Xenopus tropicalis: one gene and its partners. The protein of the gene in region 2 interacts with the protein of the main gene of each other region in a pairwise test. Links are inferred from orthologs where the notes say so. Each region holds a gene or a part of one and is shown on either strand. Other genes may lie near its edges. The genes, in order: trim55, tcap, lamtor5, ttc19 and atxn1.

Region 1 (6,090 bases), on a different chromosome or scaffold from region 2:
AGAAACAATAGACACTAAAATGTGGCAGGTCACAAAGTATGTCCTGTATCCCAAAGCTTATCATTGTGTAAGAGCATATGGGTTCATATACTGTAGATTAATATAACTCTGTGTGTGGTGGCTGAGCATTCTCTCTTATTATGGAAGATTGCCAAGAAATGTTGTAATAAATGTTTGAAAATGGGCATGGCCACACAAAGTGCGGATGTGCAAAAATTGGATGTACAGAAAGAAAAATCAAAGACAATAACAAACCATTAGCAAATAATGGTAATTGTATATTTTTTTTATTTCAAACAGTAGGAAGAATGGAACCATTTGCATATTGCTCCTATTATACTATAACAATATACCTATTTAGGTAGTAACACACAATGTTCCCTCTAAGCTGTGCACTCGTGCACACAAATTTTGAGACCAGCACACAATAAATTGTGATGGACACAAAGAATTTTAGGTGAAAACACATACTTTTGTACTGCGCACACCAGTTTATTTAAAGTGTGCACACAGTGTGCAAAAGAAATTTTCTGCACACACAGCCAAGAAGAAAGGAACATTAAAGAAGAGGGAACATTTGTAACAAAAATGTAATATATATAAAGGAAAAATGATATTGTATCTCTTTCTCCCCCCTGTTTGTAGATGAACAGGGCTGAAACCCTTCCATTCTCTCTGCTGCCAGGGAATATTTGCTGGGCTGCAGGTTTGTGTGTGCCGGTATCCCAGTCACGTATTTGCTATTTAAAGGGCATGTCTTGTTTTACAACACATTCTCTTGCAACTGTTTTGAAGAAAGAAAATGTATTACGGTTTTATAAACCTGGTGATTGACAAAATGCCAGCATTGAAACACTGCAAGGCTTCACTTGGCCCTTCTCCATAGAGAAACTAGAAATGTAAAAGGATAAGGGGTTTTAAATAGCCCCCTGATAAAGCAGTTCTATTCTTGACATCATGGTAAGGCTATTTCTGGCTTCCACTTGGGCTTGCTGCTGATTAATGTTGGATAAGTTGAGTGTGTCCGGAAGTCTCATCACTTGTAGATATTCAATATCATTTTTACTATGAAATGGCTGAATTCTAATTTGTGAATATTGTCATGACATATTGTTTGTATTGTGCAGTATATTGTGTAATAATGTTCCAGGACCCAATGACTAGGCTGCTATGACAGCCAAAGGGGAACCAACTGCAAATTAATACCCTTGGTTGGGGAAAAAGATGTTGCACAGACAGATGTCCAGATACTTTTCGCCACATAGTTCTTAACTTAAATGTGTCAGATATAACAGTAAGCATAGAAATGCATCTGTTCAGGCAGAGAGCTTCTGCTTAGAGGCAAGCATTTTAGCCTTATATGCATTAGTTCAGACATGTGACATCAGGGGCTGAGGCAGAGGGACAAACTAGAGCACCTAAATGTTACTTTACAATAAGAGAAACAAGGTTCTAAAGGTACAGACATGCTATTTTAATATGCATTTGGCGGGGAAGACCTTACATTCTTAAAGGAACATTAATAGTTGCCATAACAAATTGCCTTGTTAAGTTTGTGGCCTCATTTTGTTATTGGTTGGTCTGTAATACACCCAAGGCAAGACACAGCAGGAAGTAGAAAGATAAATTAAAGGAGAACTAAACCCTAAAAAATGTATATGGCTACAAATGCCATGTTTTTTATACTGAACTTGCTGCATCAGCCTAAAGTTTCAGCATCTCTATAGAAGCAATGATCCAGAACTTGAAACTTGTCACATGAGCTCCCCATCTTGGAAAGTGTCAGTGACATTCACATGCTCACATGCTTGGCAGCTGTTGAGAAGTTGGGCTTAGGGGTCTTTGTAAATTATCAAGCAGAGAAAAGCTTGGCCTGTAATATAAGCTGATGCTGTAGGGTTCATTATTACCAATGCACAGTTGTCTGAGCTGCCATGTAGTAATTATCTGTATTAACTGCTATATTTATATGAAGATTTTCATTCATCCAGGTCATGGTATATCTAGTATAAATAAATTTGAAGCAACTGGACTTGTTTGGTAATCATTGAAGACGTTTCACTACTCATCCGAGCAGCTTCTTCAGTTCAACTGACTGGTATGGGAAGTCCTCAGCATATATACTTTTCCACTAATCCAATCACAATGGCACTATGTAACTCTTCAAAAAGGTGACATCTGAAACTCACAGAGGTGTGAATGCTGTGGAGTTACTTTGAAAGGATTACCAAAGTATCATGCAACTCTTCAAACAGGTATGGGACTTCCCATACCAGTCAGTTGAACTGAAGAAGCTGCTCGGATGAGTAGTGAAACGTCTTCAATGATTACTTAGCAAGTCCAGTTGCTTCAAATTTATTTATACTAGATATAACTGCTATATTGTTACATTTATATTCTGAATATACAGTATATTGTGCGTCACTACCTAAGAGCAGATAAGTGACAACAGCACAGAGAATGTGAATCAGTAGAAAAGAGAATGGGGAGCTACTGGGTGTATAGCTAGGCTTTAGTTCTCCTTTAATCTTGAGAATCTTTGCAAAAGTAAGCCTGAGAGCTAATCAAACATATTTATTTACAAGCAAATGTTCTGTGCAGTATAGGAAGCTTATCTATTCTTTCTAAAAGGTTTGTACCTATGTTACACTGTCAAACAATTGCAACGTGGAGACAATCACTGACCTTTGGGATTTCTGCAGATGAGCTGGTGTCCTTACCAGCCACTGCCAAACTTTCTTTAAGAGTTACTGATGAAAGATCATCCTTTACAGTAATTTCCTTAGTAACTGATTGACCTACGGGACCCAGAGCATCACTCAACTCGACTTTGTCTGCGCTGGAATCTTGCTGTGCTTGGCCCTTATACCAACTAGGATAAAGCAAGGGATCGGTGGGTTCTGCTGCTGACAGCACTTGAGCGTTAGACTCAGAGGCCTGTTGGATATCACTTGGCTCAACCTCCCCCTTTATCTGAACAGATAAAGTAAAAAAGGAACAGTTATCTTCTGGCATGAATGAGGAAACGCAGTCTTTCTGAAAGCTCACACAGTATATTGCTTTGCCATGTACCTAGTCACAATTACCTAAACCAAAAGCTTCAATGTGCCTTGTTAGTTAAATAAAATGGTTTTAATAGAGTGCCTTCTAACGTTCCCATTCTGTATCCAATATCTATCAATATCAATATATATATATATACAGCAGAAAAATGGTGCGTTATGAATATTTTGAAACTTCCAAGTGAATTACTAGTAATATTATTTGGTTTTCCTTTATACAGATAATAAAGACCCACAATGCAATATTTACAATAATAATAATAATACAAAACTGTAAGACTGTAACTGCTAAAAATTATATTTAAATACATACCAAACAATGTAGGGCAGATTTATCAAACTGTGAGATTAGAGCTCACCACAGAAAAAGATATTTTCATTCCTATGGGTATTTAGAAGCATATTTATCAAATGGTGAACTCTAAGAACCGTGACACATGGGGAGATTAGTCGCCGCGCGACAAATCTCCCTTGCCGCTGGCGACTAATCTCCCTGTGTGTCACAGCCCTAACTTTCACTGATTGATAAATATGCTTCTAAAAATCCCATAGGAATGAATAGAAAGTGGGTACATTTTCTATGGAGAGCTCTAATCTCACATTTTGATAAATCTGCCTTAAAGTGTCACAATCACATTTTAGGAAATGAGAGTACCCATCCCCTGTAAATTCCACTTTGTAGTTTAATGTATGTGCGACTATTTACTATTATTCTGTGTGACGTTGCTGTACTCCTAGTGGAGGTCATTAATAATGATAGCCACAAAATTTGCAAAACCGCTGAAAAATACACTTAATTGCAAAATGTATGCACTGGAGCCAATAGGCATTTTCTTGCACAAAATGCTTTTTTATCAAGCCAAATGCATTGCAGTCAAAATACATTGGAATTAATGGGCGTTTTTTTTGTTGAGTTTTCCAAATGGATTGAAATGAGTTGCTGTTTTTTCTCAAGAATTTTCTCACACCAAAATGCTTTGAAGTCAATGAGATGAAATAAAACTCCTGGTGAAATTCTAACACAAATTTGCAAAAATTGTTGCTACTTGCACAAATTCAGACACAAATAAATACCAGTTAAAAAAATGTGCTCATCGCTAGCGGTCAGCAACACTGCAGTTTTGATATAGGAACCTTAGAGGTGCGGCTTCTCTTTATTACATTCCTCTCATCAACAAATGCTCTAACATCCACTAGGTGCAAGGGCCATAGAATAAACTCATAGAAAAGGTATCTTCTACTAAACAGGGACAATTACTGTATATTATGAATGTTTTAATTGCAGCTTGTAATAATGACGTCTTTTCTTTTTAAACTTTAAGCTCTTTTGATGCCCGAGTTTAGCCAAGTGTGTAAAGGGCAATTCTCTGTCCCTCCTCCTAGACAGAGAACTAGAGGCCAAACTCAAGGCTACAAAGCTAAAAATGTCTCACTCTTCTTTGCTTGACTATTATATTAATTAATTGGCAAGATGCCCTTAAATGCATAAATACCGAATGGCAGGAGAATATTCCTTGCCTCAATGGGGAAATTGGTTAGACAATAAACCCCAGTGAATGGCTAAATCAGATCATGTTCATAATCTGTGTGTATCACCTTCATAAATAATTGTAACCCCTTTTTGGATGTAATAAAGTCCAGCTGGTGATTGGTTAGAGCATGGGGTATACTGGACTCTAACAAACTGGATGGGCCTTTCGCTATGTGGAAGGTTTGTTATGGATGGTGTTGTTGATCTACACCTTCCACTGCCAGATGTAATAGCGACGTAAAAGAAGGATGCTAGTTGTTCTTTTTCAGCACACTCAAACAGAATTGGTTTATTGTGCAAGACAATCAAGGCAATGCAGGGTTATCAATACTCACAAATGCAGATGAAATGGCAGGTATGCAGATACACAAGATGCAGCAGTAACAAATGATGCACCACTATGGAGAATCAGCTGAGTTAAGTAGATTTACAGTATATCCTTAGGGTTTCCACCTTAATTGACCTGATCCCCTATAGCAAAGAAGACTATGCCTGATACCCTTGTCAGTACTGCGCTCCCCTGTGTAGTCCCTACACTAAGGCAGCAGAGCCTGTAAAGGAGGCTACTCCTGCTGTTCTCCTGGTTGGAGCCAGAACGCTGCTCTTTATAACTAAAGCTGACGTACTAGAAAGTGCTATTATATAAATCTATCCTGCCCCAGCTAATCCTCGTTCATGGGGTCCCTGCCCTGACTTCTCCAAAGGTAATGGATCCCTCTGGGGTATGATGGCTTTACTGGGGCCATGTTGATACCAGGCTCAGTGGAAAATCCACCTGGTTCAACAGATGCCAAAGAGAAAGATCCACCCCTTTCCTATTAATAATATGTTAAATCTGTTACATGGATCTCTGCCCAGAACCAGTAAAATAAATAAGTGTAGGGTTCAAAGCTATAGGGATTGTTAGCCTTATAGGTCCCTACATAATCCTGGTAGAACTGGTAAAAATCAGAGGTGCCTATTCCCAAGGAAATCCTCCAAGATTTGAGAAAATTAGATTTTTGAAAGGTGATCTAGGTCTCCCAAGTATTAAGAAATGTAACTTTCCCTGCAAATTATATTTAATGCAATTATATAAATAAGCTCTGTTCAGGATTCTTTTTTGGGGGACACATTTAGTTAACTTGTTTGTCAGCGACAAGGAGTTAGAGATTGTTGGTCGGAAGCACAGAATTTCAAGCAGTTATGTGACTTTTTGCAGCAGACAGAAAGACTGGCTATTTAGATGTCCAAGTGGCAGATGAGTAGTCATTGTAGACAAATGCAGTTGTGAATTTAGGCAATAAAAGACTTATAACTGGATCTGGTTAAATGGAAGTAAAAAGACATCAAAGAGAAAGATAAAATTCAGCTTCTTCATAAAGCAGTTTCTCATGTTTATTACCGAGCACATTTTGGGCACCAATTCACAGAGACAACCCAAAATACAGAATATGGGCTTGCTATTTCTCTCTATTACAACTTTACTAGCAGTTTCACAGGAGGCTATGACTATTT
Region 2 (6,807 bases):
GACAGTTGGGAAATCCTCAGACTGTAAATGCTTTCACTGGCTGAGCAATCAGAGCTAACTGGCGACTGCATGCCATGTGGTACAAGCCGTGATTGGGAAAATGAATGGTAATGGCCGGGGGAGCTATTAGCAGAGAGTAGGGGTGAGTGACAGATAGGGAGGGTGGCAGTGAGAGCGAATACCCGCTGCGGCTCTCCAGTTGCACTCTGGCACCGACCCCCGGGGGATTAGTAGCACTGAACTTGTTTATTTAACAGAGAGGATTTATCAAGGTCACACCAACCCCTCCACTCGTCAGATCGGCCATAAAAGGAGGAAAAGATAGACACGTAACCCCCCGCCCAAGATCCCGGCTCATGTTCTGTACCACCTGGGCCAATACAATAACAATAGGACATTGGCAGCAAAATCCCAATGCAATTCAGTTAGGATTTGGCTTTATATACTGCAATGGAATTTCCATAACAAGGGAGAGTATAAAGGCCCCCATACATGAGGCGATTTCACTCGTTGTGCGACGAACGATTATATCGACAAATGATCGTATGGCGATCGGGTTTCCATTCGATATGCCATCCACGGGCAACGATAATTTGCAAAAGATTTCATCGTATCATTATCGTAAAATACGTACGATCCAATGTCGTACATCTACGTACGATCGAATGCCGTGGCGGAAGCGGTATTTGTTCATTGTTCGTTGACTTCCGCTGCTGGCAATCATGACATGCGCAGAGAACAATCGTTCGAAGACAAATGTCTGACACTCACACCAACTGGCAGATTTTATCGTTAAACGAACCTGGCCAATCGATTTTGGGGACGATAATGTCGGGTCGATTAGTGGGCCGACAACCGTTCGCACACCATCAACTATACGATAACTTAACGATAGTATCGGATCGTTCGGGAATCGGTCATTTGACAGTAAAAAAATCGGCCCGTGTATGGGGGCCTTAAGGGTCATTTACTCTTAGGGCCAAGACACACGGGGCGATTAGTCACTGCGACTTGTAGCATCAACTAATTGCACCGATTTAGTTGCCATAGATTGATGCACGAGTTGCTGTTTAAAGTGCACGCTTCCTCGCCGGGACTTTTTTAAAAAGTCACAGCAACTAATTGCCCCTAATCGCTAAACTCCGTCTAGCTTACCTCTCTATGCTAGAGGAGCAGAATGGAGTTCTATAGATAGTATAGTGTTAAATAGTGTAATATAGGTGTTGTTAAACTACAACTCCTAGAATCCAGTGAAAAAATTAGAACAATTTTATATATGATATCTTTTGTCTTTTTTCTTAGCTGGGAGCAGGGAGGCAGGGTCTGATGTCACTGGTGGGGCAGTGACATCATAGTGATGGGCCACTGCTGTCACAGGGGTGGGGCTATATGCGACAATCTGCGACAGGTCACAACCCTATGTGGAGGAGCTCACTTATCTGCTGATAGGCCATTTATAAAGTACAAATGGTTAAATGTTTACTGTCAAAATATTAATGCAATGATGGGATCTGTTATCCAGAAGCCTGTTATCCAGAAGGCTCCAAATTACAGGAAGGCCATCTCCCATAGAATGCATTTTAAGAAAGTAACTCCCATTTTTTTCAGTGATGTCCATTTTCTCTGTAATAATAAAACAGTACCTGTACTTGATCCCAACTAAGATATAATTACCCCTTATTGGGGGCAGAACAGCCCTATTGGGTTTATTTAATGGTTAAATGATTCCCTTTTCTCTGTAATAATAAAACAGTACCTGTACTTGATCCCAACTAAGATATAATTACCCCTTATTGGGGGCAGAACAGCCCTATTGGGTTTATTTCATGGTTAAATGATTCCCTTTTCTCTGTAATAATAAAACAGTACCTGTACTTGATCCCAACTAAGATATAATTACCCCTTATTGGGGGCAGAACAGCCCTATTGGGTTTATTTCATGGTTAAATGATTCCCTTTTCTCTGTAATAATAAAACAGTACCTGTACTTGATCCCAACTAAGATATAATTACCCCTTATTGGGGGCAGAACAGCCCTATTGGGTTTATTTAATGGTTAAATGATTCTCTTTTCTCTGTAATAATAAAACAGTACCTGTACTTGATCCCAACTAAGATATAATTACCCCTTATTGGGGGCAGAACAGCCCTATTGGGTTTACTAAGATCAAGTATCAATGGATACAAAACAATCCTGTTGGGTTTAATTAATGTTTTATTGATTTTGTAGTAGGTATGGAGATCCAAATTATGGAAAGACGCCTTATCCAGAATACCCTTGGTCCTGAGCATTCTGGATAATGGGTCCTATACTTGTACTGAGCTTGCCAGCACTCTTTCTATGCCACCCAGCAGGCTATTTACCCAGCCTGGCATTCCCTAATGACAGTTCTGTCCCTAATGGGCTGCCATAAGGAGCTCTTACTGTAACATATGAGCCCTCGCATTTTCCGCTGAGACCGTGTAACCCGGTTATTGATGACAAAGCCTATAGGTATGTATCAAGCTGGGCGGCAGTGAGCAGCTTTCTGGGAAGCCCTGAGTCCCAGCTCTGTTCCATATCTGTCCCCACTGTGACTGTGCGAGGGGCAGCGCTGGGGGGGGGGGGCAGGATGACTCTTTGGGCAGATATAGAGTGTTACAAAACAGAATGAAAATAGACACAGACAAGGGTATATAAATGCGGGGAAGAGCCCTGCCTGGCAGAGCCACACACACAGGGAATCAGAGGGAGAAGCCACAGAGCTAAATCTAGAGAAACATGGTGGGAAAGCCTGGGACCCCCAAGGCCATGGGGAACGTGACTGAGCTGAGCTGCCGAGTGCAAGAGGATAACACGGCCAGGAGGGAGCACTTCTCCGCAGAATGGATAGACACCTCCATGTTCAGCCGACCAGAGGAAAGGTATGAAGGGGAGAATGGGGGGACAAGGGAGCTGGCAGTGGGGAGGGGAGGACAACTGTTACACACATGTGCTCTACCTGTTATTTTATATGCCTTTAGTTGCCCTTTAAACCAACACACACCCTAGTTTAAAGGGAAGCCATACCCCTGGCATCCCCATGTCTCTGTATTTAAAAACACATTAAATTCTCTGTGCTGATTGGTTGCTATGGGTTACTAGACCCAGACTAACCTTTGCTGTATTTATTACATTACCCCCAAGGGATTCCCGGGAACAAATTCCTTGAGGCTCCTAAAAAAAAATCCCATTTGGGTTTATCCTATAGGTTAAAGCTCACCCAATGGGTGAAGCAGAAGCCGGGGTAATAGCTGATCAGATTCCCAACTACAGACCGGTTTTGCCCTTCTTGGGGCTCATCAGTGTAGCGCAGGGTTTTCTGATCAGCTTAGGGAGAGCCAGGAGTGGGGATTCACGGACAAGTCATAAGGGTTGAGGAGACCGCCTCATACATTACCCCCCAAAGTGTTACTTTCGCTGGTTTGTTCTGCTACCCCCCAACTCTTCCTTTCCAAATCTGTCATATTACTGCATGCCCAATGCTGACACCTAAAGACTTGGCACACAGGAATAGGTACCCAAAGGGTTACAGTGTTGCTTGTGGGTATGATAAAGTATTGAGTATTAATCATTTCTTTTGCTCCCCATTTCAGCTGCAATGCCCGTGATGCCAATGTGTGGAGGAGAGAGAGTTTCCGCCAACAGGGACAGACCCGCTTCCTGGTCCAACAGTCTCCCGCACAGGTCATGAAAATGGGTCGCCTTGGCCAGAGACTCACCCAGTACCAGCTGCCCTACCAGAGAATGTTGCCTCTGCCCATCTTCAAGCCAGCAGATCTCAGCACCAAGATGGAACGCATAGCCACCCCGCCCCAGCTGCGCGGCATGATGGAGTTCGAGAGGGCGCTTAGCCACCCAGGCAATGACGGCGTCTGTCCGGATAAGAAGTCGCTCTCCCAGATCACTAAAGAGTTGCCTCCAGTCATGCAACCAGTGAGAATGGAGATGATGAAGCCAGGCCTGGCCCAGTCTTTCACAAGGTCTACGTCCCAAGAAGTCATGAGAGGGTAGAAGAGAGGAGAAGGCGAAGGGTCTAGAGGAGAGTGAAAGGTGTAGAGCAACCACCCAATCCTATCTGCTAGTCATAGATGGCCAGGTTAGAGTGCAGTGTGTGTCTGCATGGTGTCTGCTCTAGAAGGCCCCTACTTTGTATAGCTGGATTATAGGGAAACGGCCAATTGGTTCCCGGCGGCAACCTCTTCGTTGTGTTTGTAAACTGGATAGAATATTCCAGCTTGAGATTATTTGCAGAAGTTTATATGTCTTTTATCTGTAGGTCACAATTTTGGGAATGATATATGGAATGGAAGGTGGCATATGAGTAGGTGCAGGAGCTCGTTGTCCTTAGTGTAGAGTTAGGGGGGAAAAGGTAGTCATTCCCCAAGCCCAGGATGGGAGACAGGGTACTATGGCTGAATTCCCTTTTTACTAGACAACAATGGGTTCCTTGTTGCCCTGGTTTATAGTGCAATGGTTGGTGGCCAATTTAAGAAAGGTTGGAGACCCGGTTGAGCATTTCAGTCTGATCTGATCTAGAAAAGCCGCTTACAGCACTGCCAATAAGCAAGTTACCCGGGGCACTCGGCAGAGAGATTGCAGGTGAATAGTTATAATGAGGGACATAGTTTGTATAAAGCCCCAGGGTGGGGCAATGTAGGCATCAGACCCATAATGGAATGGGCTACAATATACTGTATATCCCCATCCTCTCCTACATGAAATCCAGGTGACTGAACTACCCAATGGCACGGCGGGAGCTGCCATACTTGGGCCATGGTGGCTTCTACACCTTGAGTGATGGGACAAAGAAAAACCCGTTAGGTGAAACGATGGACTGCAGATCCCTCTGCCCTTAATGGGGCTCAGATATGTTTGCACAGTTTTATATGAAAACAGATACATATTTATATTTGTACCTATGTTCTCCTTTGTCTTGGTACTAATTAAGTTCTAATGTTATTTTCTTACGTCTAATAAAATGAATGTTTCAGCCCTTTTTTTATTGTGACGCTTACATTTATATTCACAGTATAATATACACACACAAATACACACACATTGCTAGGTGTGTACACATATATATATATATATATATATATATACATAGTCAAAAGGTACCCTGATCTCAAGGGATCTGGTATTGATATGTATTGAATGTATTGCTTATGCAATGGTTACATAGTTAAGTTGGGTTGAGAAAAGACCAAAGTCCATCAAGTTCAACCATTCCAAGCAAACCCCAGTGCATTTATATACTTAGTATAAGTAAATATAATATATTAATAGTGTGTGCCATGTTTTCCCAACAATAAGAGCACATACAGAATACAACAATAACGAGTATTCCTTCATAGGTATAAACAGATATTAATTGTATCAGCCATATGTGCCACTGATATCGGTTGAAGATACCTGCTTTAAATAAGGACAACTAAGTCAAAGCAAGGTAAGGATCGGTTCTAGGGGTAAATGCATCTATGTTTTTATGAAATGAAGTCCATCCAGGCCCTACAAGGCCCCTAGCTTATGGTAATTGGCTCCAGCCCGTCCTTGTTTCCAACCTAGGCCTATATAATACCTACATCAAGTAGCACTGTGTACCCTTAATTGTTAAGAGGGTGGTCCCTGGATGCCAAGTTCTCTGGTGGGCCCTAGTAGGTCCAGTCTGGCAGTGACACTGTTTAGTCTGTAATACAATCTGAGAAACAATCTTTGTATGCACCTAGGTAGTGGTTTCCAGACCTGCCCAAGCCAAGTTTTGTCCCTGTTAAGGCCCCAACACTTGGCCAGGGCTCCCCTTAGTTTATAACAAGGTGACTGACATATGTAAACATCACTGTATGTGCCATTCAGTCATAGTTCCAAAAATATCTAGGACAGTAAATAAGTTTTCACCCCCATAACACCCTATTGACCTTCAGGCTGGGCTTTCAGGATTATCTAATGTAGTAACAAGGCACGCTTCCCGAATGTCCTGCACTGGCTCAGGGGTCAGCCTCACAGCTTGGTCTTAGAAACGTTTCCCTGGTAAAAAGTTACCTATAGCACCTTTGCATGGCCCCCAAGACCATTATCTAGAGTTGCAGAGCTGCACCGTGGTGTTGGCTGCCATTGTTAGCATGGATCATGGGGATCTCCAAAAAGGAGCATCCACACCTGGCCAGGGCCATGGTTTGGCTTCTAGTGCCTCTATAATGGCAAGGGGAACAGGACAATGTTATGAGGCAGGGTCGGACTGGGGGGAGTAGGGCCCACCGGGGCTCCCGCCCCAGGGGCCCTGTAGGTGCCCTGCCAGCTGCATCCCCTAACCCCCCCACAGTGGCCCCCCTAACCCCCTGCAGGGTCCCCCACCCGAAGTCCTCCCCTGAGCGCGAGTAAGGGAGGAACGGTCAGGCAGGGGGAGCGCCGGCAAGCGTTGGGTCTGGGCCAGTCCCACCCTGTTATGAGGGGGGGTGCGGCGCAGTACTCTGCTACTGCAAACCCTATCCAGCCCCCTTCCTCCCCACCCGTACATGTCCCCCCCAGGGGCGTAACTACAGAGGAAGCAGACCCTGCAGTTGCAGGGGGGGGGGGGGGCAGTAAGTTATTAGCCATTTCAATATATCTTGATAGAATTGGTCAACTTGGGGCCCTAAACTAAATTTGCTGTGGGGCCAGTAGCATCTAGTTACACCCCTGGTCCCCCCTATATGTTTGCATGTCCCCATTTCCCACTCTCTCAGGTAGGAATCAGGGATTTATATGCAACAGTAGAGGAATTAGACCCCATTGTCCGAATCCCCCTG
Region 3 (6,780 bases), on a different chromosome or scaffold from region 2:
CAAACTTTGCACTGTCAGTCACTTGGTGACTACGTATTCAAGTTTTGTATACGTATTTTGTTTTTTTTTAAGTGGGCAGGGTCACCAACAGCCAATCAGATTTTACCTATTGATTTTCAATGGTGAAGTGTAAAATGCAGTCCCACAATTTTTATGTCCCCAAACTTTGCAAAGTTGGTCATTGGAGACTGCAGTTCAAAAATAGCAAAACTGGGTTGGGCCACTAATAGTCAATCACAGTTCATCCATTGAATTTTATTGGTTTCAATTTAAAATGCTGCCATTCTCACACTATTTATGCCAAGGTGCCCACTGTTAGTCACTGGGTGACTTTGACTAAAGGTTAGAAAAAGCGGGCACACCCACCAACCACCATTTACAATTCACCTATTGACTTTTATTGGTTTAAATTTAAACTGCTGCCGTTCTGTAACTATTAATCCTAGGGTCCCTAAACTTTGCAGAGTTAGTCACTGGGTAACTGCAGTTCCAGATTAGAACAAATGGGCAGAGCCACCAACCGCCAATCAGATGTCACTTGTTGACTTTCAGTGGGGAAATTTAAATTGCTGCCATTTAGACACTATTAAAACCAGGGTCTCCAAACTTTGCAGAGTGTTTTTTACTATATAACTGTGGGTCCAAGGTTAGAAAAAGTGGACCAAGTCAACAACATATCAGATTTCATTCAGTGACTTTATGTTTTTCAAACCAACATGAAGTTTATTCTCAAACTTCCCTTTCTAGTTTCAGTCTTGTGAGCGTTAATTTTGTACCTCCAAAAATGAACCACAATCATGTAAAAAAATAAAGATTTCTTAAAGCGAGTTATTAACATTTTGAATGATCAATAATAAATCATCGGCAAGATGATTTAACATGAGAAATGTCAGAAATGTCTTTCCACCGGCAACAGTAGGAGTTACCTGTGGAAAGGCCTACACATAGCTTCAGCTTTCCGAAGTCGCGCAAAGCTTCCTCGTGGGCCATAAGCCTAAACGAAATATAGTAACATTACATTCGTTTGTTTGAGAGCCTCAAAAAAAGCGAAGTAAAGTTGCTCTTAGTAAAATTTTAAGCAATAGCACCATCTGCTGGTTATATCTAGTACTTATGTAATTATATTTCATTTACCTGTGTAATTTCTGTAAAACAGAACATTTAAATTGTTTGTTGCCTTGCTCCTTTTCCACAAACAAATGTTTAAGGTGGCCATACTTAAAGATCCGCTCGCCTTTCGAGGTCCCTTCTCCCGATATCCCCATCAACAGGTGGCGATATCGGGGGAATTTAGGTTAATTCGGTCATTTGGCCCTGGGGAGCCAGTCGGTTGGGGGACCACATCAACGAGCCGATACGGTCGCCGATCCAACTGAATTTTTTAACCTGCCGATCTATATCTGGCAATTTTAGGCCAGCTATCAGTCGGGCAGGCAGTCGTTGCTGCCCCTACACGGGCCGATAAGCTGCCGAATCAGTCCAAGGGACCAATATCCGGCAGCTACAATCAGCCTGTGTATGGCCACCTTTAGTGTTCAAGAGAGAGATAAGCTTGTAGCAGCCTAGAGTATTGTAGTGTTTTACCCTATTACAGCGTGACTGCAATGTGAGCTTATGTAAAGAATGTAACTGTATCTGTGTTTTCCCATATGCTAGTATAGGATGGGTTTTCTCGTAAAATATTGAAAAATCTTGACACTAAGCCGTTTGGGCCCATACCCTTAACTGTGGGAGCATCCTGTTAGAATAAATGCATGCTACTCTATGCAAGGGCACCCTCTCCTGTTTTTTATTGAACAGTCTGGCAAAAACCACCATTTGTGCCGAGTGGCACAAGAATTGAAAGTGAATAGTGATCATTTTTATATGACCCGGACATAAGTCCAATAGCATAACTCTTAGTTTCTCATTCAAAAGACCACTTCTGTCAAGCTTCTGGTTGCACTCTGCACCCTAGGCCTAATAAACAATCCAGCATGAGGTGAGGAATAACATGCAAGTTAAGGATTGGGCAGGTAGTAGTAGGGGGAATTTACATCTGTCCTTGCCCCAGTAGAGCTTTCAGTTCTTACCACATTCACAAACTCTGTGGTTATGTTTATCAATAGCCACTTAACTTAACTAAGGTGAACAAACCCTTTAATATATATTTTAGAAATATTTTATTTCCTTTGATTGAAGCCCACCACATCCATTTGGGAGAAGAAACAACGTCATGTGCAGTAACAAATCTAGAGCTCCATGGAACTGGGTGTAAAATTCACTCTGGACATTAACCCACGTGACACCCAAAGTCAGTTAACCCTCTGTAAACACTAAATTGCAAAAGGAAGTCAAGAAACCAAAATGGACAAGAATCCTACTGTCAGGCCAGTAAAAACAGTAATCAAGAAACCTATTCTCAGAGTATGTTAGCTTTGTATGAAGCATTGTGCATTGTAGCGGAACCACCATTAAGCCAAAGCATATTAATAGTATTTTTCATTCATTGATTTTTCTTAATAGCGCCAGAGCTTCAAATACTGCAAACGAAAACTCCCATTAGCCCCACCTTCTGTCTAACAGTCAGCTGACCGGGAGGGTCACATGAGCAAACACCCGGAAGAGGAACTGCTTTAAGGTTTTTTTGACAGGAAGAAGAGACTCAGCTATGGAAGCGGCTCTGGAGCAGCATTTGGAAGATACGTGAGTGCTCTGTAAACACATACTAAGGAAAATAAAATTAATTGGTTTTTTTCAATTAGTAAAATCAGGACATTTAAAGCGAAAGAACAGAAATAATTCAAACAGACAGAAATGCACTTCAGAACTTGAATTTCGTAACGTGTCTTTAAGTTTGCTGGTAATAGTTCAGATTCTCTTATTTTTAATCATTCCTACATGCGTGATCTCACTCAGGAGAGGAAATCGTGGGGGGAGGAAGCGGTGAACACTGTCACTGTTCATTCGGAGACTGGGGCATCTGGGGGAGGGGGTATAAGCATAAGTGTGAGCTATTAGTTACACAAGGTAACGACCATGTTGTTGCTGTTAGGCGGGTAGGCAGTTGAAGAGGGGATGTAAATTCGGATGCACAGATTAATTGCAAGGAAGTTGTTGGAGGGGTTTACTCGAAAAGCAGAGGAGGCCTTGGAGTTTTTGTTAGGAGGAAGCAGTGCAATATCAGGCATGGAGGTTTGGGGAGTCATGAGTTAACTGCATGTAAATCCTTATTGGGGGTGAGAAGGCTCATGAAACTGTGTAGGTGAATTGGGTGGCAGAGGTGGCCATGCAGTTATGTGTAAGGAAATGGCACAAGTGGCTGGCAGGTAGGTTATGTGAGGAGGATGATGGAGTGGAGTTGTGTAGGTGGGCAAAGTGGCATAACTGAAAGGGATGGGGGCTGTGCATGTTTTGATGGAGTCAGGCATACTGGCTCTTGTGTGGAGCTGAAACGTCGGATTAATAAAAACCATGTAAGATATTGCTAAAAAACTTTTTTGGTGAATATTAACCAAAGTCCTGTGAGTGCTAACCTTTATTGCAATTGTGTGTATATATATATATATATATATATCTGTATTCATTGGTGCGTGCATAGGTGCTCATATATACATGCGTATGTGTGTATGAAAGTGCTTATATATGTGCACATATAGACACATATATAAGTAAATATTTAGGTGCACATGTGTATATATGTGCATCAATATGTGTGTAATTGTATGTGTATATGTGCAACAACACGTGTGTACATATAGGTCTGTAAATAAGTGTATATATAGATGTGTGTTTGTGTCCAAGCAGACACACAACCATGTGGCTTCCTTGTTTGACTCTACACCTGGAATTTTACTTAACAAATACATTCATGGTCTTGATCCTCTGCTAGTGAGTATTTTCTAGTGCATGATCTGTATAGAGGTGTTTAATAAACGGGTTGCACAGATCGATCTGCCCACAGTGCGATCACATATTATTGATTCCTTAACCAAGATTCAACTTTATTTAAACACTTGATTATATTTCTGACTATTTTACTCTAATATTCTGACTTTCACGGTACATCCCTGACATCTAGCTTCATAAAAAGTGTTACTCTTCTTAGACCTTGTGGTTATTCTCTTGTACTTTCTATTTTGTCCATTTAGTATTCTTTTTTTATTGCCTGTCTATATAATTTTTGTTATTATTTATTTTTGATATAATTTTGATCTCTGTCTGGTAACGTAGGATTACGTCATCTCCACTTTTTCCCACCACTGTGTGCTTTTTAGACACTGAGTTTGTTGTATTCACCACTTTGATAAAGGCTAGAGTGCTAGCCGAAATTTTAGTCTCCTATATAATAAAACAACAAGTCCTGCGAGTACTGACACTTCCTCCAGTATATTCAATAATTTTTGGACCTGAGTGAGTGAGTGCCGGCATCTATTTGGAAGTATATATATATTTCTGAGAAAAGTTGTGTTGTTTAATACTGACACAAGAAACATCAGAGACTGACTAATTGTCTAAACTTTGCAACATCATCTTTCTTTTCCCCTGACTATAAGGACAAAATGGCAGCTATGGCCACTCTATCACTTTTTAAATTTGTTTGGTTAATCTATAATAATCTATATCTATAATATCCTATGAACTAGTAGAGATGATATAGCTGAAATAGCTTTCAGATAGGTAACCAGTATTTGTTTGGTATCTTGACACAAGTGTTTTGCCGTTCCTTACTTTTTCAGAATGAAAAATCCATCAATTGTTGGAGTTCTGTGTACAGATTCACAGGGGCTAAGTCTGGGATGTGAGTACCCTTTTACATTGGTTTTGTGTATAATATTGAAAATTGATGTAAATTGCAAAAGTACTCTGAGGAACACTCTGAGTAAGGTTAACAAATTCATTTTTAGGCTTAATTCAAATAAACAGCTGTGGAAATCCTTCCCAGAAGAGTAGAGGCTATTATAGCAGCAAACGGAGGAACAGCTTTATATTAATTACGTTGCTCTGAGAATTACCTTTGACCATTTGGTGTAGCTGCTGAACTTCCAATATTTGTCTTATGTGAAGGCTCCCTCTCCCTTTTATGGAGATTGCTATCTGTTACTCTGCAGCCAAAGTAATCTGTGAAAGAGTCAGTAGAAACAAACAGACTCTTGCATGGGGGTACTGACCCCTTTGGTAAACCCTGTTAAGTAACACAATAGGTTTTTAATCCATTGGTCACCTGGGCTGAAGGCACCATGGCCTGCACACACACAACCATGCCCCTGATCCCCTCATCATGCTTCATTAGTCCAAAACCCTGCCTACTCCATGCAAGCCCCACCCTACTTGTGTTTTTAATTCTCTTGGGGCCCCTGACAGCAGCAGACAATATATGCCAAAAGCCAAGAACAGAAGCTTCTGTACCTGCGTTGCTGAGTCTTTGTGCTCCCACCACAAAATACTCGTGATCACAAGGTTCACTTTCCCTCTGAAATCAGCAGTGGCTTAGCACTTGCAAACCTGTCCTTGAGGCTGCCTTTTTTAAAAAAAAAAAAAAAAAAAAAACAAACTTTTTTTTGGAGGTGTAGGGTAGGTTTGGGTAGGCTAATGAAAATTCTCTCATGACAATAAGCTCCACTGGGACAGACTGAAGTGAATGATATGTTAGTGCTATACATATATAAAGGGTAACATATTTTAGTGGAAAAATGTATCCAGAATATGAACAATTTAGTAAATCCTGAAAAAGTAAAGATTCTTCTCCTTAAGCCAAGTGTTGCCTTTCCATGCCCTAGTCTCTGTAGATATTTGAAAGAACCATTGCAGTGTCATGACCATGCAGTGTCATGAGACCTATACACTACAGTAGTAGGATGTAATAAGAGCCAATTACTTGAGGTGTACCATTGGTTAGCATGCATTCCTATTTAATTGTCTGTATTTTAAGATGCTTATATTTTAGAAGGTTACACTTTCTTCTTTCTAAAATGCATTATTAATGTGATTGTATTAAGTGCTTCATGTTCCACTTCTCCAGGAACTAAAACAATGCACTATAGTATTTCTACTGCTGCTCACTTGTTTTTTCAACCCCAAATCTGTCCCCCAAACTTTTAGTGGTTGAGTATTAAAAAAAAAAAAATATATATTATTTTTCTTGAAGGTTGTGGAAGCCTTTCCGATAAACATGCTGGTGTGATCTCCATTCTTCCTCAGTATGCAGCCAAACTTACGTCAGACCCCACAGATGTGCCAGTTGTATGCCTAGAATCTGACAACGGGTGAGGCCATTTTCATACAGTTAGAGAATCCAGAATATATATCTACAGGACAATAATTAAGCCATTACTTGTTTTCTTTTTGTTGTTACTTAGGTAAGTTGGGTTGCAAAAAGACCATCAAGCTCAACCCTTCCAAGTGAAGCCTAGTGCACACACATAGACCCATACTGACCTATCTATATACTTACATACATAAACTATATATACCAACATCAATACTAACTGTAGATTTTAGTATCACAATAGCCTTGGATACTATGCTTGTTCAAGACCTCATCCAGGCCCCTCTTAAAGACATTAACAGAATCTGCCATTACATCATCACTAGGAAGGGCATTCCACAACCTCACTGTAAAAAAAAAACAAAAACACCTAAGCACCTAAATGAAAGTTCCCTTCCTCTAATCTAAAGGGGTGGCCTCTAGTGCAGTGCACTGATCGTTTTGGGGTTATGGGAAAAAAACAATACCACCAATCAGTCTATAACCCCCTCTCCTTTTTTCCAGAGAAAACAACCCCAACCTTGACAGTCTAA
Region 4 (5,656 bases), on a different chromosome or scaffold from region 2:
AATATTCAGGTCTGACCAGTATGTGCAGTAGATTCCCATGGTGGGGAATTATATCAGTCCACACAAAGCATGTGATGTAGCCACAAGTGTCTTATCTTATTCGGAACCTGTCACACTGTAAAGTATTTTATTTTCCCCCTTACTGACTTGTAATTTTAGTTCCATAAGAGCAGAAATGTTGGAACACAACATGTTCATTCATATAATTAACATGCTATATTATGGCTGGCAGTGCTATTTCTGTTAAGTTGCAAGCAATTTTCTGATGGACATTGGCAGTCAGCGCTAAGAAGGCAATTCTGTAAATAAGCTATTGTCATTCCTTTTTTTTTTTTTACAGTTACTTAGAAAGACTCCATTATAACAGATGGTAGAGCCCCTAGATCAGGGACCCCCAACCTTTTATACCCATGAGTCACATTTAAATGGATAAAGTGTTGGGGAGCAGCACAAGTATAAAAAAATGTTCCTGGGGGTGCCAATAAGAGCTGTAATTGGCTACTTAATAGCCACTATGTGGACTGGAAGCGTACAGAAGGATCTGTTTGGAATTCAAAAATGAGCCCCTGCTTTGAGGCCACTGGGAGCAACATCCAAGGGGTTGGGGAGCAACATGTTGTCCTCGAGCCACTGGTTGGGGATCACTGCCCTAGATGGTTATATTCCCACTAACTAAGGTTGCACATTTAGGAGTATGAGTTAAGTGGAATAATAAACCTTATATGTAAATAGGATTTTCCCTATAAGTTTATAGCTAACATGCACAGAAAATTCATTTTGTGCATGCTTTTCATTTTTTTTTTATTACTTTTTTATTATTATGTATTTGCTATACAGGGGCTAAAACTAGCTGCTGATTTAGTCACTCCAGAGGTGGAACCTTGCTGGGCTTGCTATGCTATGGAGGCAAAATGACAACCTCCGTGACTGACAGAACAGAGCTTTATTAGATATATTGTGGCTATGCGGACAGCATTAGACTCTCTTGAAGAGTGCACACAAGGCTGTTTGTGGCCAAATAGTGTCCCGGTTTGCTCGTTATGCAAATGAGTGTGACATCACACGCGTGTGAGTAATGCACAAGACGGGAGGCTCTTTAATTAAGTGCATGTGTGTAACCAAACATGGCCGCCAACAGCAAGAGGTCCCATTATGGTGCAGGCGGCATAGCACTCACAGAGCATTTTTCTCTCAAAAGCCAGATCCACTGTATACATTTTTGTGCCAAAGGGAGTGGATTGGCCCATTTTACATTAGCAGAGAAAACTCCATGTATGCCACTAGCCTAACACCTACCTGCCTTAGGTAAAGCAATATATTAGCACAACATGAAGTCAAGTGCATTACACATGTCTAGCTAAGTCTAAATAAAATAATAATAATATGGCATCTTCCATTTAGATATATAACTGCAACCATTAAGAGCAGTGATTCCCTTCCCTCAGGAGCAACATATTGCTCCCCAACCCCTTGGATGTTGCTCCCAGTGCCCCCAAACCAGGGAGTTATTTTTGAATTCCTGACTTGGTGGCAAGTTTAGGTTGAATAAAAGCAAGATTTACTACCAAATAAAGCCTCCTGTAAGCGGATAGTGTGCATAGAGGCTGCCTAATAGCCAATCTTAGCCCTTATTTGGCTCCTCCATGAACTTTTATGGTGCTTGTGTTGCTCTCGAAGTCTTTTTACATGTGACTGTGGCTCACGAGTAAGAAAGGTTGGGGACCCCTGATTAAGAGAGTGCTGCACACAGACAGCTCTCCGCCATGCATTGTTAATTAAGGGGATAGAAAAAGTAAAAAAAGGAAGAGACGTGATATATAAAATGGCAATTCTAAAGTAGATGACAGATAAGGATTGAAGACGAGGATCAGTGGCCAGAGTCTGCAGAATCATAATGTTCTTACCTTGATAAGTAAGGATCATAGCCAGGTTACTTAGCACCACATGCAGGTCAGGGTGCTCAGTCTTACGAGCCAGCTCAGATGCTTGATTTACAATGGCAAAGGCCTCGTCGTGCTTGCCCAGGGCTTCCAGTGCAATTGCAATATCATTCATGAGTATAACACTCTGCAACACAGCAGCAGAAAAAAGTCAAGCTTAGCAGAAAAAGTTTAAAGAGAATAAACAACTTACTGCTTTATCAGCTTAAATTCTGCAAAGAAACCTTGTGTAAGTGTCACTCTAGGAATGAATATTCACATGCTCATAACCCAACATTAGGCCGTACATCAGATAAAGTAAATTATAAGGAAAAGATAGAGTCATGGGGCTTCTGAAAGCTTTAGCAGCACAAGTGCCTTTCTACCAGCAGAAAAGCATGGCATGCTCAGGAGACATGCGAGACAGACAGGGCTTCTGAAAGCTTTAGCAGCACAAGTGCCTTTCTACCAGCAGAAAAGCATGGCGTGCTCAGGAGACATGCAAGACAGACAGAGCAACACAAGACAGTGCTACAGTGCAAAGGATTTGTACCTGAGGGTGCTCTGTTCCCTGCTCCTCTGTGCAAATCCGTAATGCTTTTTCATACATATTTTGCGCCTGTGAAAATGATGAATTGTTTATCAGGTAACGACCATAAGAATCCAGGCATAACCCAAGGAGGAGACGTGTGTTGGATTTTTCATCAGCTGTTAAAATAAAATGAAATAAATAAGGCAGCAATGATTAAAACCTATTTTCCCATACTGAGTATGTTACATAGTTATATATTTGTAAAACACATACAAACAGAGACACCTACTATGATAAACATACACTGTAGTGGCGAGCAAAACCTCTTGTGTGTAGCCTTAATGGCTACTGTGATGGGGGCAATCGGTTTTGGCCACAGCTAGAATCTGATGGGAGACACAGCCACATCAACGGCATACTTTACTAAACATCACATTATTTTCAGGTGCACAAAAAAGACAATGTTTTGATACACTGTTTTCCAGATTCTTACAGTGGCCTACATGCCTTGCTTTTGGTCAGTTACATCTGTGAGCTAAACTCAAACTTGCAAGTAGTGCCAATATAGGTCTTGGTGGCTGCAGCTTGTCAGACTTCTATATGCCACACCATTCAGATGGCTAACAGACAGCAATGTCTTAATCACAGCATTGCTCAGTAGACAGAAGAGGCAAAACTTAAATCCACGCAGTAGTTAGTGCACTTTTCCACAAAGCTAGCACAGACATATCCTGGGCTGGACTTAATGTGAATGTGTACTGTTAATATGAATGAATTTTGTTTAAACATCAGTGCCACCTGCTGGTCTGTTTCCATCCGTGACAGTCAAGAAACATCTTTGCTCGCAAAAAAGTAAAGAAGTCGACAAAGCTAAGCTCTTACCAGCCAATGACCCCTCCAACAGACCTGCCTGTTTTTCAAGCTTTTCTTCCAGACTCAAGATACAGAACTGGTAGCCTGCCACTGCCAACTCTTTCCTGTAGTACATAATAGTTCAAAAGTCAGTGGTATTGGTTGATCCAGGTTTATGGAACTGAACAAATAAAACTAATGTATTACTTACTTGTTCTGTGTAGCGTAGATACTGGCCAGCTTGAGGGAAATCTCAATAAAGGCATTGTCATCCTGAGCAATAAAATACCCAAATGTTACCCTAATAACAGGATATTATATAGAGGCAACAAAGGTGGCAAAAGAAAAATATACCTGCTGGATGTTATCATTAAGCATGAAGATCAAGGTTTCCTTGAAAAGCTTTTCAGACTAGAAAGGAAAACAAAATGATACCTGCTATCAGCCAAATGTTCTTGTTAAAAGTATGCAACTATAATGCACTTATGTACTTATAGGGAAAGAAAAAAAAATCGGAGCAAAAGCAAAGCTGCTTGTAAAGGGAAGAGCGAGCTTAATTTGTAAGGTCCGTTTTACCCCTGAAAACAAAGGAAAAAGTGTTTGTTTTTGATGCTGGAGTGTCTCATTTTTACATCAGTGGTTCTCAACCTTCCTAATGCCGTGACCCTTTAATACAGTTCCTCATGTTGTGGTGACCCCCAACCATAAAATTATACCTAAAATCATCGGAAATATGTGATTTCCGATGGTCTTAGGCGACCCTTGTGGAAGGGTTGTTCGACCCCCAAAGGGGTCCCGACCCACAGGTTGAGAACCGCTGTTTTGCATCATTGTTAACTGTACATATTTGCTGGCGATTTAAATAATACTGTATAATACTCACTGTATCCAACTTTCCTGTGAGTAAAGCGAGGTTAGCCATCTGAAAGCAAAATAAAAGGCATAGATAAAGCGTTCATTCTACTTTTACCCAAATCAAAAATCCCTTTAATGAGCGTTATCTGCATTTACGTTTATTTCTCATTTAAGGGTCACAAGTAATGAGATTTTAAGTATTTTGCAACATTACACAGACACAAATGAAAGTTGATACTGCCCCATAAAATGGGCCAAAAAAAATATTTTGTTTGCACGATTCATTAAGGATTTGTAATAGTTTTAAAGTTATTTGCAAATGTATTTGCATTTGAAAGCAGGGGTTGTTTATCCCTTTCTGATCTCTGGTTCTGACTCTTTGGTTCTCCTCCAGGTCTTTTAATTATCTGGATGTGCTATATTGTTTCAGGAGTCAGAACAAGGAGTGAACAGACAATGCATTCAGTAGCAATTACATTTACAAATAACTATAAACGATTGAAAACCTTGAAATAATATGTACTGTAAAGTTTCTTAGAATTAGATTTTCTTTTATTATGCCGAAAAACCTGTTGTTGGGTGGGGAACCCCTTTTCCAAACTTCCCAGCAATGGTTTATCCAGACCCTGAGAATTGACAAACAGGGACTTTTGAGTCAGAAATCAACCCTTGCAGTGATTTAAAACTAACACACAACAAAAAGGCATCATGAGATTAAAGGGAACTTATTGTAGGAAAATAGTTTCTCCCATCGTAGGTGTGGGCTAATAAAGCCTGTGCTCTAGTCGGGGGAAACAATACTATTTTGATAAAAAAATGTTTGTAGTGTGCGCTATGCTGCCGTCACAAGTGTATAAATGAACAAGCTGGGACTCTTTTCATTATTTGCATGCTTAGAGTCCAAACATGGCCATCTGCACAGGGAGCACCCTTCCTACCATGAGCACTTCGGTGTGTCATCATGTGCCACTGGCTGTCATCATGTGACTGGCGTCACAGTTTGGCGCAAAATTTGAAATACAAGGACACTGAAGACCAAAATTCAATGCCAGAGTATAGGTCTTACTTAGTAAGTTCCTGGGAGCACCTAAATTGCTATTTTGACTTGATCTTTAAATTCTTCTGTTTTTTTAACCCTTGGATACGGCATTCTGAATTATTCCTGTCTGCATGAACCTATGCTTCCTACTTGGTCTCTTAACTTCAATTCCTGGTAAGACCTGGCTGGCCGTGGTACAACCATTGGGAGCACCCTCTCGGTTCAGACAGCATAGCGCTGATAAATTTTTTTTGCCCAAAATAGTATTGTTTCCCCCAAACTGTGTGCAGATTCTATTAGCCCTCACCTCCCGATGGGGGAAAAGATTTTTCTGTGATAATTGCCCTTGACGTGGTCTCAGGGATTTCCATAGCCTAGACTGTTAATCTACTGCCTGATTTATTAAACAGACAGGGGGTCCATCCAATCACAGGCACTCTTGGCCAAGTATATATAGAG
Region 5 (6,090 bases), on a different chromosome or scaffold from region 2:
TTTCAAATGCTGTTCTAGTTATAGTGATTTATAAGTAGTGCCCGTAATTTGTATTTTTTAGTCAGTTAAAGTCACTTATAAGCACAATACTTTATCAGCTTAGGTAAAATAGGGAAATTAACGTTAATATAAGTAATAATTCATTGATGTTCTAGGTATTTGTCTAAATTGGGAAAAAACAATACTTTATATTCGTTAGATAATAAATGGTCAAGTTATTTGAAGCACTGCTTAAAGAAAGACAGATTTTTGACTTCTTACATATATCTTAAAAGAAGTTGTTTATGATGTATTTATTCTCTGTCATTATTAGTACAAAATACACTGGGCTGTGTTTTTTTATACCCCACCGTTACCCACATCCCAACCTACCCTTATGTAAAGCCTTTTTACAATCAGACACCCTTACTGGAGTTATTGGAGCTTTATTTGCGCTAGGCATGCCGCACAATAAAGTAAAACAAAACAAGGTGCCATCCTTTAGCCCAGACTGACCTAGAAAACAAACTAATTGTTTACCTGTTTCCTAGGTTCTATTCTTGACTTTTTATTAACTGCTAAATGTAGTTGAAGGCAAAGGAAACCGACTCTTTCCCAAACCCCATGTGCCTGGTGTTAAAAAAAACCACTTTTGTGGCCCAACAGCTGGTCTGCCTACATGTCTCCTAAAATATTTTTTGTAAAGGATAATTGTTACTCTGAATTAATGTGTGACTCCTTAGAACAGCCCTCTACTGCTTCTGAGACACTAAAGACACCTATAGAGCTTTTTATATGGGGGTAGTAAAACCATGACCGTTTAACCTCTTGCCTTACCAGCCCTATAAAATTGTGTTATAAATGATTCTTGAATTTGTGCCATAGGTCATGTATAATGTTATAATATGTTATATTGCAACCAAGAAAATCTAGACAAATAGAAATCTTGATAAAATATATTTCAAAATATAAAGTTTATACTAAGTTAAGAAAAACTATTCTGCAAAAAAAAAAAAACAATAATGAGATTTAATGACAGTTCTGCTAGGAGGAGTCCCAAGTGTATATCATGCAGACCAAAGAGCTAGCTTAAACCAGCAGTGCACTTAAAAGCACCTTACTACTTCTTTGAATTCTGCAGACTTCTGTATTATTCATATTCAATTCATTGCCTGTGGTAAGATCATAAATCATTTGCGTTGCCCAGCAGGACTCTTCAGTAGACTGAAATGACTTTAACGTAGTAAATTAAAACCTATGTAATTCTGCTAAGTCACAGGAACAGTGCTTGCATTCTCTGGATTACTTATTAAGTCTACCTTAGAGGTATTAAAAGCTCATTTATATCTACATGTTTGTCAAATGAACATTCAAAACTAACTATATTTAAGACCAGAAACAGGTGAATGATGAGCCCCTCTGTGATATAGTTTTGCAGAGGCTATGTATAGGCTCGGGGTGGAGGTATATCAGCTCCCAAGCACTGTCATGTCACAGTTGATGTCTTGCCTAGACTGATTAGAGATGATGGTTCTTGGCATATCCCTATGCAATACCATAGCCAATTATAGAAATGAGTTGTCTTAGCCACCATGATTCAAACGCACTATAATGGGCAGTGTTTTGAAATTATTCTGGCAGCGTTATATATATATATCTTTATGCTATCTGTCACATAGGCCTTGCAAAGAACCCTTTGTGCTAGGAAAAAATAGTAAATTTTTTTTGGTAATTAATAGAGCAGTCTATGGGGACTTTTTAATTTTTTAATTCTTTGGTTAGACGCTAGTGATGCTTAAGAATGTGTTCCTTTACATACATATCATATACCGGTAGGTCTAATTTACATGTATTTACAGATCATAGTGGGATCTGACTAATCAGATCTAATAATATTCTACGATGGGGCATATTTATTATAGTGTATAAGCCAACATTACTGGTGATGTTCCCCATAGCAACCAGTAAGCAATTAGATTTAAACAGTCACCTACAAATTAGAAAACAAAAGTAAAGATCTGTTGCTATGGTTCTGTTGCTATGGTTAACATCACCGGTGATGTTGGCTTATGCACTAAATATGCCTTTTTACTGTCTGACAAAAGTTGTGATATGTTCCAACACAACCCTGACTGAATGTGTCAGATTATTAGATACTATTGCCATGCTAACAGTTAGACCCCTTAAGTCAGTCCAATAGGTTGCACCATATTTACTACAAAAAGTGTGATAATGGCACATGTGTTACAGCAAGCTCTGGCATATTAAAGCAAGAGAGGACATGTAATTCCTCTGAAATCACTGGGTTTTAATTAAGCTGGCCATATATGCACCGATAATTCGGTATTCGGTGCGTGTATGGCTGCTCCAAGAGGCAACCGATATCGCAAAAGGCTGCGGATGCACATTGCATCACCCAATCAAATGGGGTTTAAACAGGAGCAAGAAGGGGGCTCCATACTTTTGTTCAGCAGCAGCACCAAGTGCTATCACCCGTCTGAATTCTTGCGTCCTCATGCAAATTGCATATGGGGAAAAATCATTCCAACATTTCTGCAAAATGATTTATTAAAGCTTTGATTTGTTAAAATCTTACTGAAATTGACCAAAATGTTATAAATCACCCCATAGGTTTAGGAGCATTTTATTGCTGTTAGTTCTCCTTTAAAAAAAATGGGAAGCCTGTGATACTGCTGAACTGTTGCTAATGATTTCAGGTATTAAATAAAGAATACACTTGACAGCAAATTGCAGGGCTTAGAGGCAGATATTCTCAATTTTGCAGTGAGAAAAATAACACAGGATTTTCATCAGTTTTCTCCTTGAAGAGCAAAGTCTTTCCCTCACAGTTGTTTTCTCAATCACATTAACACACACCTCCACAGATCTAATAACAGTCAGCACTTTGCTCTGGAGTGATACTTCTCTTAATACAAAATGGTTCTCCCATCACCTTGCCCCAATTTTCTTCATGTTCTTTGCCTTCGGCTGTCAGGGAATAATAGGAGTTGACGTGCCACCAAAACATGGAAGGCTGCCGGATACATTTTTTTGATAAAAAGCTACCCAAGTACGAAGAACATGCTCTTAAATTAACAGATATATAACGATAAAATATGAAAATCTTTAAATATTCTGGCAATACAGATAATACTGTGAGTACATACATTCTCAGTACAAAGTAGCCCTTGCACAAGCAATAAAGTATAGAGATTATTTGTCCATATAACTCTTATTGCTGCTTATTGAATCATTATCTTATTGCTAGAGTCCCACTTACCCTAGGGTAGGGGAATTATTATGATAAACAGAGTATATGGGTCTGTGACATCAGTGGTGTTTTGTTTTGTTTGTTTGGCCATACCCCAGATAATGCCAGCTCATTGGTTATACCCCCAATTTATTTCTTATATAGCAGTGGATGTAGAACCTTTGTTGCAGCTGGTTATGCTACAGTTGTCTTGGTGTCCTTTAATGTTTCCTTTTTCTATTTATTGTATGTAGATTTCACATCAACTGTTGGAAGATTGTGCTCCAAGGGAGATGATTCCTCATGAAGTCATTGGGATCTCTAACAGATTTAAATGCGACTTTCCATTCACCAGACTGAAATCAGCGTCAGTCAGACAGTGAGCAAGCAGTGGTGGTTGGCGGGGGTGGCAGAGAGCAAAACATGAAATCTAACCAAGAACGAAGCAATGAAAGCCTGCCACCAAAGAAACGTGAAATACCCGCCACCAGTCGACCTTCTGAAGAGAAGACCGTTGGACTGACAAATGAAAACCACCGCACAAATAGCTTATCATGGCTCCCATCCAAGCCCAGCAGTGACCTTGGTGCACGTCATCATGGGCCTCCAGGAACTTCAACAGAAACTGGTTTACAAAAGGGAGGAAGTTTACATAAATCACTTTCTACGAGTATGGACTATTCTCCCACTAGTACTACAAGATCGGTACCAGTTGCAACAACAGTTCCTGCCAATTACCAAACTGCTCAGTCTCTGTCAGGGGCATCTATGTCTCCTGTGCAATATGCTAATGTGCCCCAAACTTACCAGTTTATTGGGCCACCATATAGTGGACCATCATATGCAGGATTCATAAATTCACAGCTTATTTCACCTACATCAAATTCTGGATCCAGTGCAGTGTCCTCCATGCCAGTAGGTGTTACAACTCCAACCCAGCGGTCCCAGGTGGAGGCTTTTTCCAGTATGCTGGCCAATACAAACAGCCTAAGTCAGCAGGGACATAAAATAGAACCACATCTAGATCGGACACCAGGATTAATTACTGCAGGTTCACCTACTCAGCCAAGTCAATATGTCCATCTTTCCAGCTCATCCCAGAGCACAGTCAGAACTCTCTCACCACCTGTTCATTTACCTACTCACTCTACAGTGATTCCGAATACACTTACACTAGGTGCACCTTCCCAGGTGGTCGTGCAGTACTCAGATTCAGGAGCTCATTTTATTGCTAGGGACCCTGCAAAGAAGGAAGACAATTACAGGTCACAGACCAAGGAGTTATTGAATGGAGAAATAGAGAAAGTTCGAAGATTTGGAGTCCATTGTACTGCAGATGCACAGTTAATGAAAGCAGGCAATAATAAACCAGCTTCCCAACATTATGAGACAAGACATGTGGTGGTGCACCCTAGTACTGATTATAGTACTCGGGATCCCTCAGGAGTTCGGACCTCAGTCATGGTAGTGCCTAACAGCAACACAACTGCCACAGACATGGATGTCTCACAAACTATTAAGAGAGAAACCTCACCTTTAGCAGCTCATAACAGGGGAAGCATACATTTAGGAAAGCAAACCCATCGGCCCTATGTTTTATCCCCACAGCAAACATTATGCCCAGAAGTAGTAAAAACTGTGGCTACATTATCTCCTCACACTGTCATCCAGACAACTCACAGTGCAGCAGAACAACTTTCTGTTGGTTTGCCTGCTGCTTTTTATGCGGGTACACAACAGCCAGTTATTGGCTATCTCAGCAGTCAGCAGCAAACCATTGGCTACCCTGGAAATTTGCCACAACACTTGGTGTTCCCTGGAACCCAGCCCTTACTTATACCTGTTGGCAATCCAGACATGGAATCATCTAGGGTTGGGGTTACACCTGGTATTGTGACGTCATCTCCCCAGTTTGCAGCAGTGCCTCATACATTTGTCACTACGCCCATTCCAAAAGGTGAAAACTACAGTGCTGAAACACTGGCAACTCAAACTGCCTACCAGGCTGCATTGGTCCCAGCTCAAATCCACCTCCCTGTTGTACAGTCTGTTGCTTCTCATATGGCAACTGCCCCTACACTGCCCCCTTACTTTATGAAAGGGTCAATCATACAGCTGGCCAATGGTGAGCTAAAGAAAGTAGAGGATTTAAAAACAGATGACTTCATACAAAGTGCAGATATTAGCAACGACTTGAAAATAGACTCCAGCACAGTGGAGAGAATTGAGAGCAGCCATAGTCCAGGCATAGCTGTGGTGCAGTTTGCTGTGGGAGAGCACCGGTCACAGGTGAGTAAAGGTTAAATTATCTTGCACTTAAAGATATTGTTGATATGGATCAAAGACAAAGTAGCTTTAGAAGCTTTTACCTAAGAGAGCGTCAGTTATTGTATTATTCTCATACAGAATATAAGGCTACTGCCACACCAGACTGATTCTCGGCCTGCATTTATCTACCCCTTTGCTTGCCTCAGCCTACTCTTATGACTGCACCTGGAGAAACTGCATGCGCCGGATGCAGACACATGGAGCAGATTTCATCACTGAAATGCATACTAATGCATTTTTAGTGCCAAAATCTGCTCCATGTGCCTGCACCTTGGCCAACTTTTTGGTTCTGGGTGCAGTCGCAAAAGTAGGCTGAGGCAAACATAGATGCTGATTATCATCCTGGTGTGGCATTACCCTAAGGGGTATATTTATCATGCTGTGTAAAAAGTGGAGTAAAACATCACCGGTGGTGTTGCTCATAGAAGCCAATCAGATGCTTTTCTTTCATTTTGTAACTGTTGAAATCTAATTGCTGATTGGTTGCCCTGGGCAACATCACCGGTAATGTTTCACTCCACTTTTTACACAGT

What was found.
Region 1: the proteins of tcap (region 2) and trim55 interact in a two-hybrid assay, tested with the Homo sapiens proteins (2 studies listed by BioGRID and IntAct). The link is inferred for Xenopus tropicalis from reciprocal best matches to the Homo sapiens genes TCAP and TRIM55.
Region 3: the proteins of tcap (region 2) and lamtor5 interact in binary tests that used the Homo sapiens proteins (3 or more experiments, as listed by UniProt). The link is inferred for Xenopus tropicalis from reciprocal best matches to the Homo sapiens genes TCAP and LAMTOR5.
Region 4: the proteins of tcap (region 2) and ttc19 interact in binary tests that used the Homo sapiens proteins (3 or more experiments, as listed by UniProt). The link is inferred for Xenopus tropicalis from reciprocal best matches to the Homo sapiens genes TCAP and TTC19.
Region 5: the proteins of tcap (region 2) and atxn1 interact in binary tests that used the Homo sapiens proteins (3 or more experiments, as listed by UniProt). The link is inferred for Xenopus tropicalis from reciprocal best matches to the Homo sapiens genes TCAP and ATXN1.

What each region holds. Positions count from the first base shown.
Region 1 is NC_030682.2:118,769,037-118,775,126, reverse strand, and holds part of trim55 (tripartite motif-containing protein 55), read right to left. Parts: intron 5,897-6,090; coding exon of another isoform or gene 5,885-5,896; exon of another isoform or gene 4,852-5,884; intron 2,974-4,851; coding exon 2,686-2,973; intron 785-2,685; coding exon of another isoform or gene 764-784; exon of another isoform or gene 269-763; intron 1-268. UniProt on the Homo sapiens protein: E3 ubiquitin ligase that plays an important role in regulating cardiac development and contractility, muscle growth, metabolism, and fiber-type differentiation.
Region 2 is NC_030686.2:9,927,534-9,934,340, reverse strand, and holds tcap (telethonin), read left to right. Parts: upstream 1-2,681; 5' UTR 2,682-2,761; coding exon 2,762-2,904; intron 2,905-3,615; coding exon 3,616-4,033; 3' UTR 4,034-5,020; downstream 5,021-6,807. UniProt on the Homo sapiens protein: Muscle assembly regulating factor. Mediates the antiparallel assembly of titin (TTN) molecules at the sarcomeric Z-disk.
Region 3 is NC_030678.2:72,304,796-72,311,575, reverse strand, and holds the start of lamtor5 (ragulator complex protein LAMTOR5), read left to right. Parts: upstream 1-2,558; 5' UTR 2,559-2,650; coding exon 2,651-2,685; intron 2,686-3,037; exon of another isoform or gene 3,038-3,205; intron 3,206-3,235; exon of another isoform or gene 3,236-3,276; coding exon of another isoform or gene 3,277-3,308; intron 3,309-4,718; coding exon 4,719-4,780; intron 4,781-6,127; coding exon 6,128-6,245; intron 6,246-6,780. UniProt on the Homo sapiens protein: As part of the Ragulator complex it is involved in amino acid sensing and activation of mTORC1, a signaling complex promoting cell growth in response to growth factors, energy levels, and amino acids.
Region 4 is NC_030678.2:29,746,713-29,752,368, reverse strand, and holds part of ttc19 (tetratricopeptide repeat protein 19, mitochondrial), read right to left. Parts: intron 4,226-5,656; coding exon 4,187-4,225; intron 3,715-4,186; coding exon 3,658-3,714; intron 3,577-3,657; coding exon 3,515-3,576; intron 3,429-3,514; coding exon 3,334-3,428; intron 2,628-3,333; coding exon 2,473-2,627; intron 2,068-2,472; coding exon 1,905-2,067; intron 1-1,904. UniProt on the Homo sapiens protein: Required for the preservation of the structural and functional integrity of mitochondrial respiratory complex III by allowing the physiological turnover of the Rieske protein UQCRFS1.
Region 5 is NC_030682.2:93,424,737-93,430,826, forward strand, and holds part of atxn1 (ataxin-1), read left to right. Parts: intron 1-3,483; 5' UTR 3,484-3,652; coding exon 3,653-5,518; intron 5,519-6,090. UniProt on the Homo sapiens protein: Chromatin-binding factor that repress Notch signaling in the absence of Notch intracellular domain by acting as a CBF1 corepressor. Binds to the HEY promoter and might assist, along with NCOR2, RBPJ-mediated repression. Binds RNA in vitro.